2 linked regions of the Tribolium castaneum genome follow. The protein of the gene in region 1 purifies or fractionates together with the protein of each later gene. This does not show direct contact. Links are inferred from orthologs where the notes say so. Each region holds a gene or a part of one and is shown on either strand. Other genes may lie near its edges. The genes, in order: eIF6 and protein BCCIP homolog.

The links.
Region 2: the proteins of eIF6 (region 1) and protein BCCIP homolog purify together in Homo sapiens (affinity purification with mass spectrometry; 3 studies listed by BioGRID and IntAct, counting the BioPlex papers as one, with this or other methods). This does not show direct contact. The link is inferred for Tribolium castaneum from reciprocal best matches to the Homo sapiens genes EIF6 and BCCIP.

What each region holds. Positions count from the first base shown.
Region 1 is NC_087394.1:11,178,671-11,183,162, reverse strand, and holds eIF6 (eukaryotic translation initiation factor 6), read right to left. Parts: upstream 2,820-4,492; 5' UTR 2,786-2,819; coding exon 2,679-2,785; intron 2,628-2,678; coding exon 2,366-2,627; intron 2,312-2,365; coding exon 2,135-2,311; intron 631-2,134; coding exon 449-630; intron 395-448; coding exon 385-394; 3' UTR 245-384; downstream 1-244. Other genes in the region: Rcc1 (regulator of chromosome condensation), read left to right, coding at 3,019-3,085, 3,136-3,335, 3,386-3,568. UniProt on the Homo sapiens protein: Binds to the 60S ribosomal subunit and prevents its association with the 40S ribosomal subunit to form the 80S initiation complex in the cytoplasm. Behaves as a stimulatory translation initiation factor downstream insulin/growth factors.
Region 2 is NC_087395.1:14,256,339-14,259,364, forward strand, and holds protein BCCIP homolog, read right to left. Parts: upstream 1,728-3,026; 5' UTR 1,638-1,727; coding exon 1,542-1,637; intron 1,496-1,541; coding exon 1,241-1,495; intron 1,195-1,240; coding exon 697-1,194; 3' UTR 669-696; downstream 1-668. Other genes in the region: polycomb group protein Pc, read left to right, coding at 2,586-2,645. UniProt on the Homo sapiens protein: During interphase, required for microtubule organizing and anchoring activities. During mitosis, required for the organization and stabilization of the spindle pole.

The sequences.
Region 1 (4,492 bases):
ATGTTTGCATTCATTCAATAAATTGATTGAATTAAAATTTTGCATTAATTAAGAAAATTTGGGGCCAGTAATTCGAATTAGTTTAATAATTCAAAATTAAATTTCAATTTTCTTTTTTGTAAATCTGACTGACTCAAGAATTCAAGCCTTATTGTATACCGTTTTTTCATCTTTTTTAGATGAGGGGTCTTTGGGGCACTCAAAAAGGGGTTTAATTCGTGTATAGAAATAAAACATAGAAAAATACGAAAAAATTGTTTATTAAATTATTGATATACATATTTGCAACATTTCAAAAACTGAGAATAGTGCGTATCACATGAATTTTTTTATATCATTACTCTGTTTGAAACGGACATAATAAAGTGAAGAATCATCTTTAATTTACGACATGCTGGAAAAAAATAAATGTAATAAGAACAAAAATAATTTTGTTTTAATTGAAAACCTTTCAATGATACTAGCCCTCATTTTTGATGTGATTGAAGAAGGTGCAGCTCCACTCAGTTTAAACACTGACTCAATTACTGACAACTCAGTGGAAGTTGTATCCATACCAGCAAACGCAGTCCAGTCATTTACAACCAAACCGGCACCAACCACTTCACTACCTCTGTTTACTGTTCCAGCCTGTTAAAAAAATAAATTTAAAACATAATTTCATGAGTCTTAATAATAAACATATAGCCAAGAGTGCCGCCAAGATATCATAAAATTTAAATTTAAATCACTGCTTGGATTTTTTCTCTTCGTAACAAATTACGAGAAAATTAATTATCCAAACCAAAGAAACAACGAATTCAATCATAATAGGCAAAAGATAATCCAATGTTCGTTTTTCTAAAAGGTGTTCAAAAAAAAACAGAAATCTTTATCCTGTTGTAAATTATTTTTTTAATTTTTAAAGGCATTAAAGCAAATTTTAAATAGTATGTTAAGAAAAAAAGTTACACTGCATGAGTGTCAATGACTCAATAATTCTATCGATTCTCTCATTTGCGAAATTTCACAAAATAATATGGTTTTCAAACGATGAATCCGTCATTTTCGAACCAAATTAATTATTTTTCAATTTAGAAAAATTTCTCTACAAAAATGTTGAGCTTACATACTCAAGAAGCAATAAATAACACAATTTTCGATACAATTCGGTTTTTTTGTCAAAATTTATAAGCTCTGAAAAAAATATACATTCCGACCAATTTTTTTACGAAATTTCAAGAAATTCATGTTGAGTAAAAATTTACAAAAAAATGTACCATTTTCGAACAATTTTGGTCAGTTCAGATGATTAATTAATGTAATTTTAGACCACTTTTGACTCAATTTAGTGATTTTCCAACCCAGTTTCTCCAAAAAAATCTTAAGTAACATCACTGTCGACACAATTTTTGTCCAGTTTTCGCAAATTAATTGTGTGTCTCGAAGAAAACGTACTTCGAAACGCATATAAAACACAGAATAGCATCAATTTCGGCTCCATTCGTTCACTTTTTGGTCTAAATGTCATTTTGAAGCCAATTTAGTGATTTTTCGGAACGGTTTAGCAAAAAAAAAACAACAAAATTATCTCAAAAACGTGGTGAAACTACCAAAAGATAAAACTATTCTCTTTGTTTTTATTTGGTTTGTAGTAACTGCACAAGGTAGAGTAACCAACAATGAAAAAAACGTAAACGCAAGAAATGTAAACAATAAAAAAATAAACATAAAACACCATATACATTAAAAAAATCAATCTACGAATATAAACAACCTGCAAAAGCATATTATGTACTAATAATTTTTTATAATATTTTTTGTGCATCCATACTTGCAACAATAATTAACTACTTAATTTTTTTGTTTATTGATATATTCTAGTAATTAAATAAAAAATATTATAATATTTGGTATTCATTCTGATTTATTGTTTTACCATTTGCCTTGATCGCCTTCTACAATTTAACAACACAAAAGTGAATATTTATTACACTTTTATGCATTTATTAATTATTTATGTTCAAAGTCATTAATCTTTACTCGTTTTGCAGCTTCTCATCCGACTTAAATAAAATACCAGTAAATTCTTTATTTTTCCCAGAAAGTATGAAATTTTCAGAGCACACAAAAACCACGATACAATGCAACTCACCACCAACGGCACTTGTAAAAGAGACGACAACTCCTCAAGATCCACAACACTTGTATTAGGGTGAACCAAGCCCCCTTGATTACTCAAAACACAATACGAGCCCACCAAAACATTGTTAGCCACTGTTTGCCTAAAAACTTCCACTTTCAAAGTATCTGCGATAATTTCCTCGGTTTCCTGCAATAAATTATTGCACAACTTTTGTTAACAAATTTGTTTTGTAAACCATACCCTATCCAAATCTGGATGTACAAGGGCAACATAGTCATTACAAGCTATAACATTGCCTAAAGCCGACAATCTCTCCTCCACACGCTGAACTTTAACTGAGTCAGGAAGCGCATTCCTAATGTGTTGCAATTCAGTATCAAAGGTTGTGTTTGGAACCAACAAACCGTTCTTATTTCCGACACACATTCGTCCTATTATTCTGCATCCTGCCAAGGACGCATGCACCACGGGTATCGTATCAGCAAAATCGCCCTCAAATGTGCTAAAATATTCAATTTAACACGACACCAAACCATGCTGTCCCAACAATTACCTGTAGAAATTTTCGGACCCGCCAATTGCAACCAAACAATATGCGTTAGTTAATTTGGCAAAAACACCAATTTCGTTGTTATTTTCAAACTGGACACGGAATGCCATCGTGCAATACAACACTTTTTCTACAAATTAATAAACGGGAAATGTGCTTAACCTCAAAAAAAACTAGAAATTTTCGTTGCGCACTGTTGGCGTGAATCGTTAAAGTTACCAAATCAAGCCGACAAAAAACCAAAAGTTACTAACCGACTAGCTTTTTGCCGCTCCAAGGTGAGCATCACTAACCTCAATTTTCCGATAATTTCGCTATATTTTAATAAAAAATTGTGCAAGTAATGGCCGGTAAACGACGTCGCCCTAGCACAACCGAAGCCGGAGCCACCAAGCCCAAGCGCGCGAAGTGTACGCCCTTGTAAACATGTACCCACCATAACCTAAAATTCTCATTCTAGTCACTTTAGACAGCGTGAAATTACCAGAGACTACTCGTGAAGGGGTTCTGCTTGTTACGGGAGCCGGCGACTGCGGCCAATTGGGTTTGGGGCCCGATGTGTTGGAGAAAAGTAGGCCCGCGCTAGTGCAAACAAGTGATGAAATTGTCGATATTTGCGCTGGGGGTATGCACACGGTTTGCTTGACCAAAGAAGGCAAAGTAATGCGGTTGCGATTGGGTTGAGTCGGTTTGCTTTATGTTGGTTCTAGATTTTGAGTTTTGGGTGTAATGACGAGGGGGCACTTGGACGTATCACGGAGGGCAAGGAGGATGCGGAATCCACTCCTGGCGAGGTTGAGTTGCCTGGGAAAGTTATACAGATTACGGCGGGGGATTCACATTCGGCTGCGTTACTGGACGATGGGAGGGTGTTTGCATGGGGGACATTTCGTGTAAGTAAGATTTAATAATCAAGATTTAAATTTTTTTTCTTGCAATTTTGGGACTCGTTTAAAGATTTTTAAATGAGAATCCCGGGTTAAAGTACTTTTTCTTTGTAAACTTGAGATGTGAAAGAACAGATTTTCAAAAAATTAAAATATGTATAGCTCAAATAACAACTTGGGACGAATGGTTTTGTTTAACTGTACTAGCAAAAAATATGCTCAACATAATAGGCGTGGTAACATATTTATTTTAAAAAAAATGTATTGTTCTAACAAAAAATAGTACCGGTTGAGAACCTCACAAATTCCGCTAGAATATACTCGTAGTTATTCAAAAAAAAAACTTCAAATAGTACTTATAATCTTGGGAATTTTTTATGACCACGTCACATATTTATTGCTTATACTGATTTTTTTAAATATTGTTTTAGATAAAGTGATTGGGCTAACTTTATCTCTACTTTGACTATTATTTAATATTTAAATCTATATTGCTTTTCCATTTCAAAAAATCTCAAAGCATCGACCATTTTGAGAATTTCTCTAAATTCTACTTTCGTGTAAAAAAAATTAATGTAGTTTTTTACATTTCACGCCCATACCATGAAAATTTGGGATAACATTAAAGCATCAAATTGAAGCGTGTTAGAACCTCTATCATTTGAAATATATTTTTTTTCTTTTGGGCAACTAGCAGTGTTTATTTTTTCACTGAAACTAAAACATGTAATATAATAATTAATTTACTTTTATGAAATACAGTATGAATTTGTAAGGCCCTAGTTATGTAAATATTTTAAGTGGTGATAGTAGAGCTCAAAATGAATCGAAACAAACCTTCGTTTTGCTTGTGAGCAAGTGGAATTTATCTAAATTGTATTTTATGTGCTTAAATAATCAGTTTCGACGAAATTAGCATTTTTTATTTAA
Region 2 (3,026 bases), on another chromosome or scaffold:
CTTGACACGTTTGAACTTAAAGCAGTTGATGAACAAACACATAAATTAGATGCTGGCTTGAAAAACTATACGGTTGTCAGAAATTTAGCTGTTTTTACCGTTTTTCATCCCAATTTGGTCAAGGAAAATGATCTCATTAATCAGTATTAATTTATTTTTGAACCTCCACCTAAGCATTATTGATCATTAGTGGCATTTATTTTTTTTATTTTAAGTGAAACTAAGTCTAAATACTAGAAGGCGAAGCAAAATTTTGTTTTAAATTAATTTAATTGCTTTGAAGAAAAGCAGGGAAGTTGGGGATCAAATTAATAAGCTAAGAAAAGTGTACTACGATTTTTACGAAAAATAGTTATTTAAATTTGCGTTCTGAGCTGCGAATACGGTTGAAGGTTTCAGCATATCTTTATCTTGAAAGGTTTATGATTCGTTTAATTTTTTACCAGTGGTTGAGTGCTAAACCAATTCAAACCTTCTCGGTTTAGTTAATTTTCTAGAACTTTGTCCCTTATTTTTTGTATTCAACTGTATTTGACTTGTGTTCACTGTCTTTGTTTATTTTTCTTACTCTAAAACATAGCTGTACTATGTGGCGTTGTGTCGCACCCTAGTTAGTATTTAAGTGTGTGTATTTCATGTAATAGTATTTCATTATAGAAAATATACACTTTGCTTTTAAAAAAAATTATTCTTAGCCTAGTTTGACACAAAATTTTGTATTTCGCTTATAATACTTGGAAGTTTGTCCGCTTTAAACAAAATGATTACTCTGTGTGGAATCAACTCTTTATCTTCACTTTGCCAATTCCCCGTCAGTCCTGTGTCACTTTTTCCGGCCACACTGTATTCAAACCTACAGTCAGCTTTCTTCCAGAAGATTTCTTCTTCATCATTTGAGAAGACGATTTCACTACCGTCGCTTTTGGACTTCCAGTTTTTACAAATCATTAAATAGTAATCAAACTTATAGCCGTCATTCTTCTTCCCCATTCTGTGTATTTCATCTTGTAATGCGTGTAGCATAGGAAGGGAGATTTTTGATGGTATGTTAACAAACCGCTCATTGATAATAAAACCAATTTTGTTTGAATTGTTTCCCACAATTTCTTTAAATAACGATTTAGCTTCAGGATCCGCCTGTTTCGTAACCTCATCATCAACTAACTTGTACAGTTGTTGAACACATGGTGTCTCCTGAAAACCCCCTATTATCCCCAGGTTGCAAAATAAACACAACCACCTTGTGTTGCGTTAGATTGATAACACTGGTGATACCAAACACATCAGACTCCTCCACCATCTCAATATCTTCCTCGTCGTCGCTATCGTTAAAACTTTGCTTCAAAACAGATCCAATTCCAGCCTGAGAAATAAGCATGTCACTCATTTGGCCCAAATCAACATGTGCAGTTAAAAATAACTGATTCAGTAACTGTTTAATGCCGTGAAAATCTTGGCCTTCGGGGTTTCGGCCTTCAAAAGTCGCTTGGATTTCCTACAAGAGCACGTGTCATAAGTATAACCCCAAAAACTGTACCCACTTGTTGGCCATGGTAACTCCCGGACTCGTCACTTTGATATTCCTCATCAGAGGCGGGTTTCGCGACCTTTCGCGACTTTTTCGAAGCCCCAGCCATGTTTTGAACTTATTTGCACTAAAAACTCAACTCTCAAGCCAACCGGTTTGTATTCCTAGGTTAGGGAATTGTCAAATCTCAAACAAGTGTCAGGGATTACAGTGGACCAGTACAAAAATCTAGTTTGGCAAAATAAAATCTGAAAAAAGATGAAGTTTAATTTAATATCAATTGATAGCTATTGGAATAATTATTTAAATTATTAAGGATTTAAAATTGCATTTTTAATCTTCACAATTGGGAAATCCCGGGAAAGCCGCAAAAAATGTATTTTTTTTTCAGTAAACAATCAGTTATTGGCAATACTGGGAAAAAGATAAAGTTTTAAACATAAATTACTGCTAACAACTTTGTCATTCTTTCACGAACCAAAAAATTATCATAATTATAGGCAATGAGCAAGTAACATTATTGTGGACAAAAAATTGTTATGTAACCTTATAGACACACTAAACATGTATATGTGATAAAACCCGCGTGAAAAAAAATTTAACTAAAAATATTCGACTTTTTTGAAATGTTGGAAGAATATTTTGAAAATTTGGTCGGCTGGACGAGTCCATTATCCCAGAGGGGTGGAAAGTGCTGCAAAGCGAGTGCGATAACCGCAAGAACATCCCCAAAGTCCTTTTTGTGCAAACTTCTGGTGATTTACTTGAAGATTATGTGTGATTGCCTTTTGTAAATCGCGAAATGAATTAATTTCGCCAAAAATATCTTTGCGCTGCGCGCACAGTGCATCCAACCGGGCACGTCAAATTCCCCAAAGCCAATGTGATGTGAGTGAGTTGTTGTGGACGCAATTTGTGAATTTCGCGGAAAACTCCGTATTGTTTTTCTCGGGAAAATGCTGAGAAAAGCTGAGTTCGATTTGTGGTTGTGCACTTAGATGAGTATCTGGTGCGCAATAATTTTCGGAGTTTTTATGCGTCCCCATCAGCCATAACAATGGAACTTGGTGACCATGTTTATGCCGCCGAAAGGATTATAAAAAAACGAGTCCGTCGGGTGAGTTTTCATCCTTGAAAATGATTATCCTTTTCGGGTTGTTTGGTGGGGGAAATGGGGGCTCCCGGCGGAGCTAACCTCGAATTTCCATCGACAGTTTGCGATGGGTTTGTTGATAAGGTTTGTGACTCAAGGGGTATTTCCTTACATAATTGGGGTTTCCTGTCACCCCTTCCGGTCTAAGACGTGAGTCACGGCTGAGGAGCTTCGGGGAGGAAGTCGTGGGGTTAATTAGGACGCCGTTTTCGGTTTTTTTCAATAAAAGTTGTCAAGAAATGGGGGTTGGGGCTGTAAGTCGTCATTATTGTTGCCAAGTGCCACATGTTGAGGAAGTTATGGTATAATAGACGAAACGGGTTTGACGATTGACTGACAATAAAA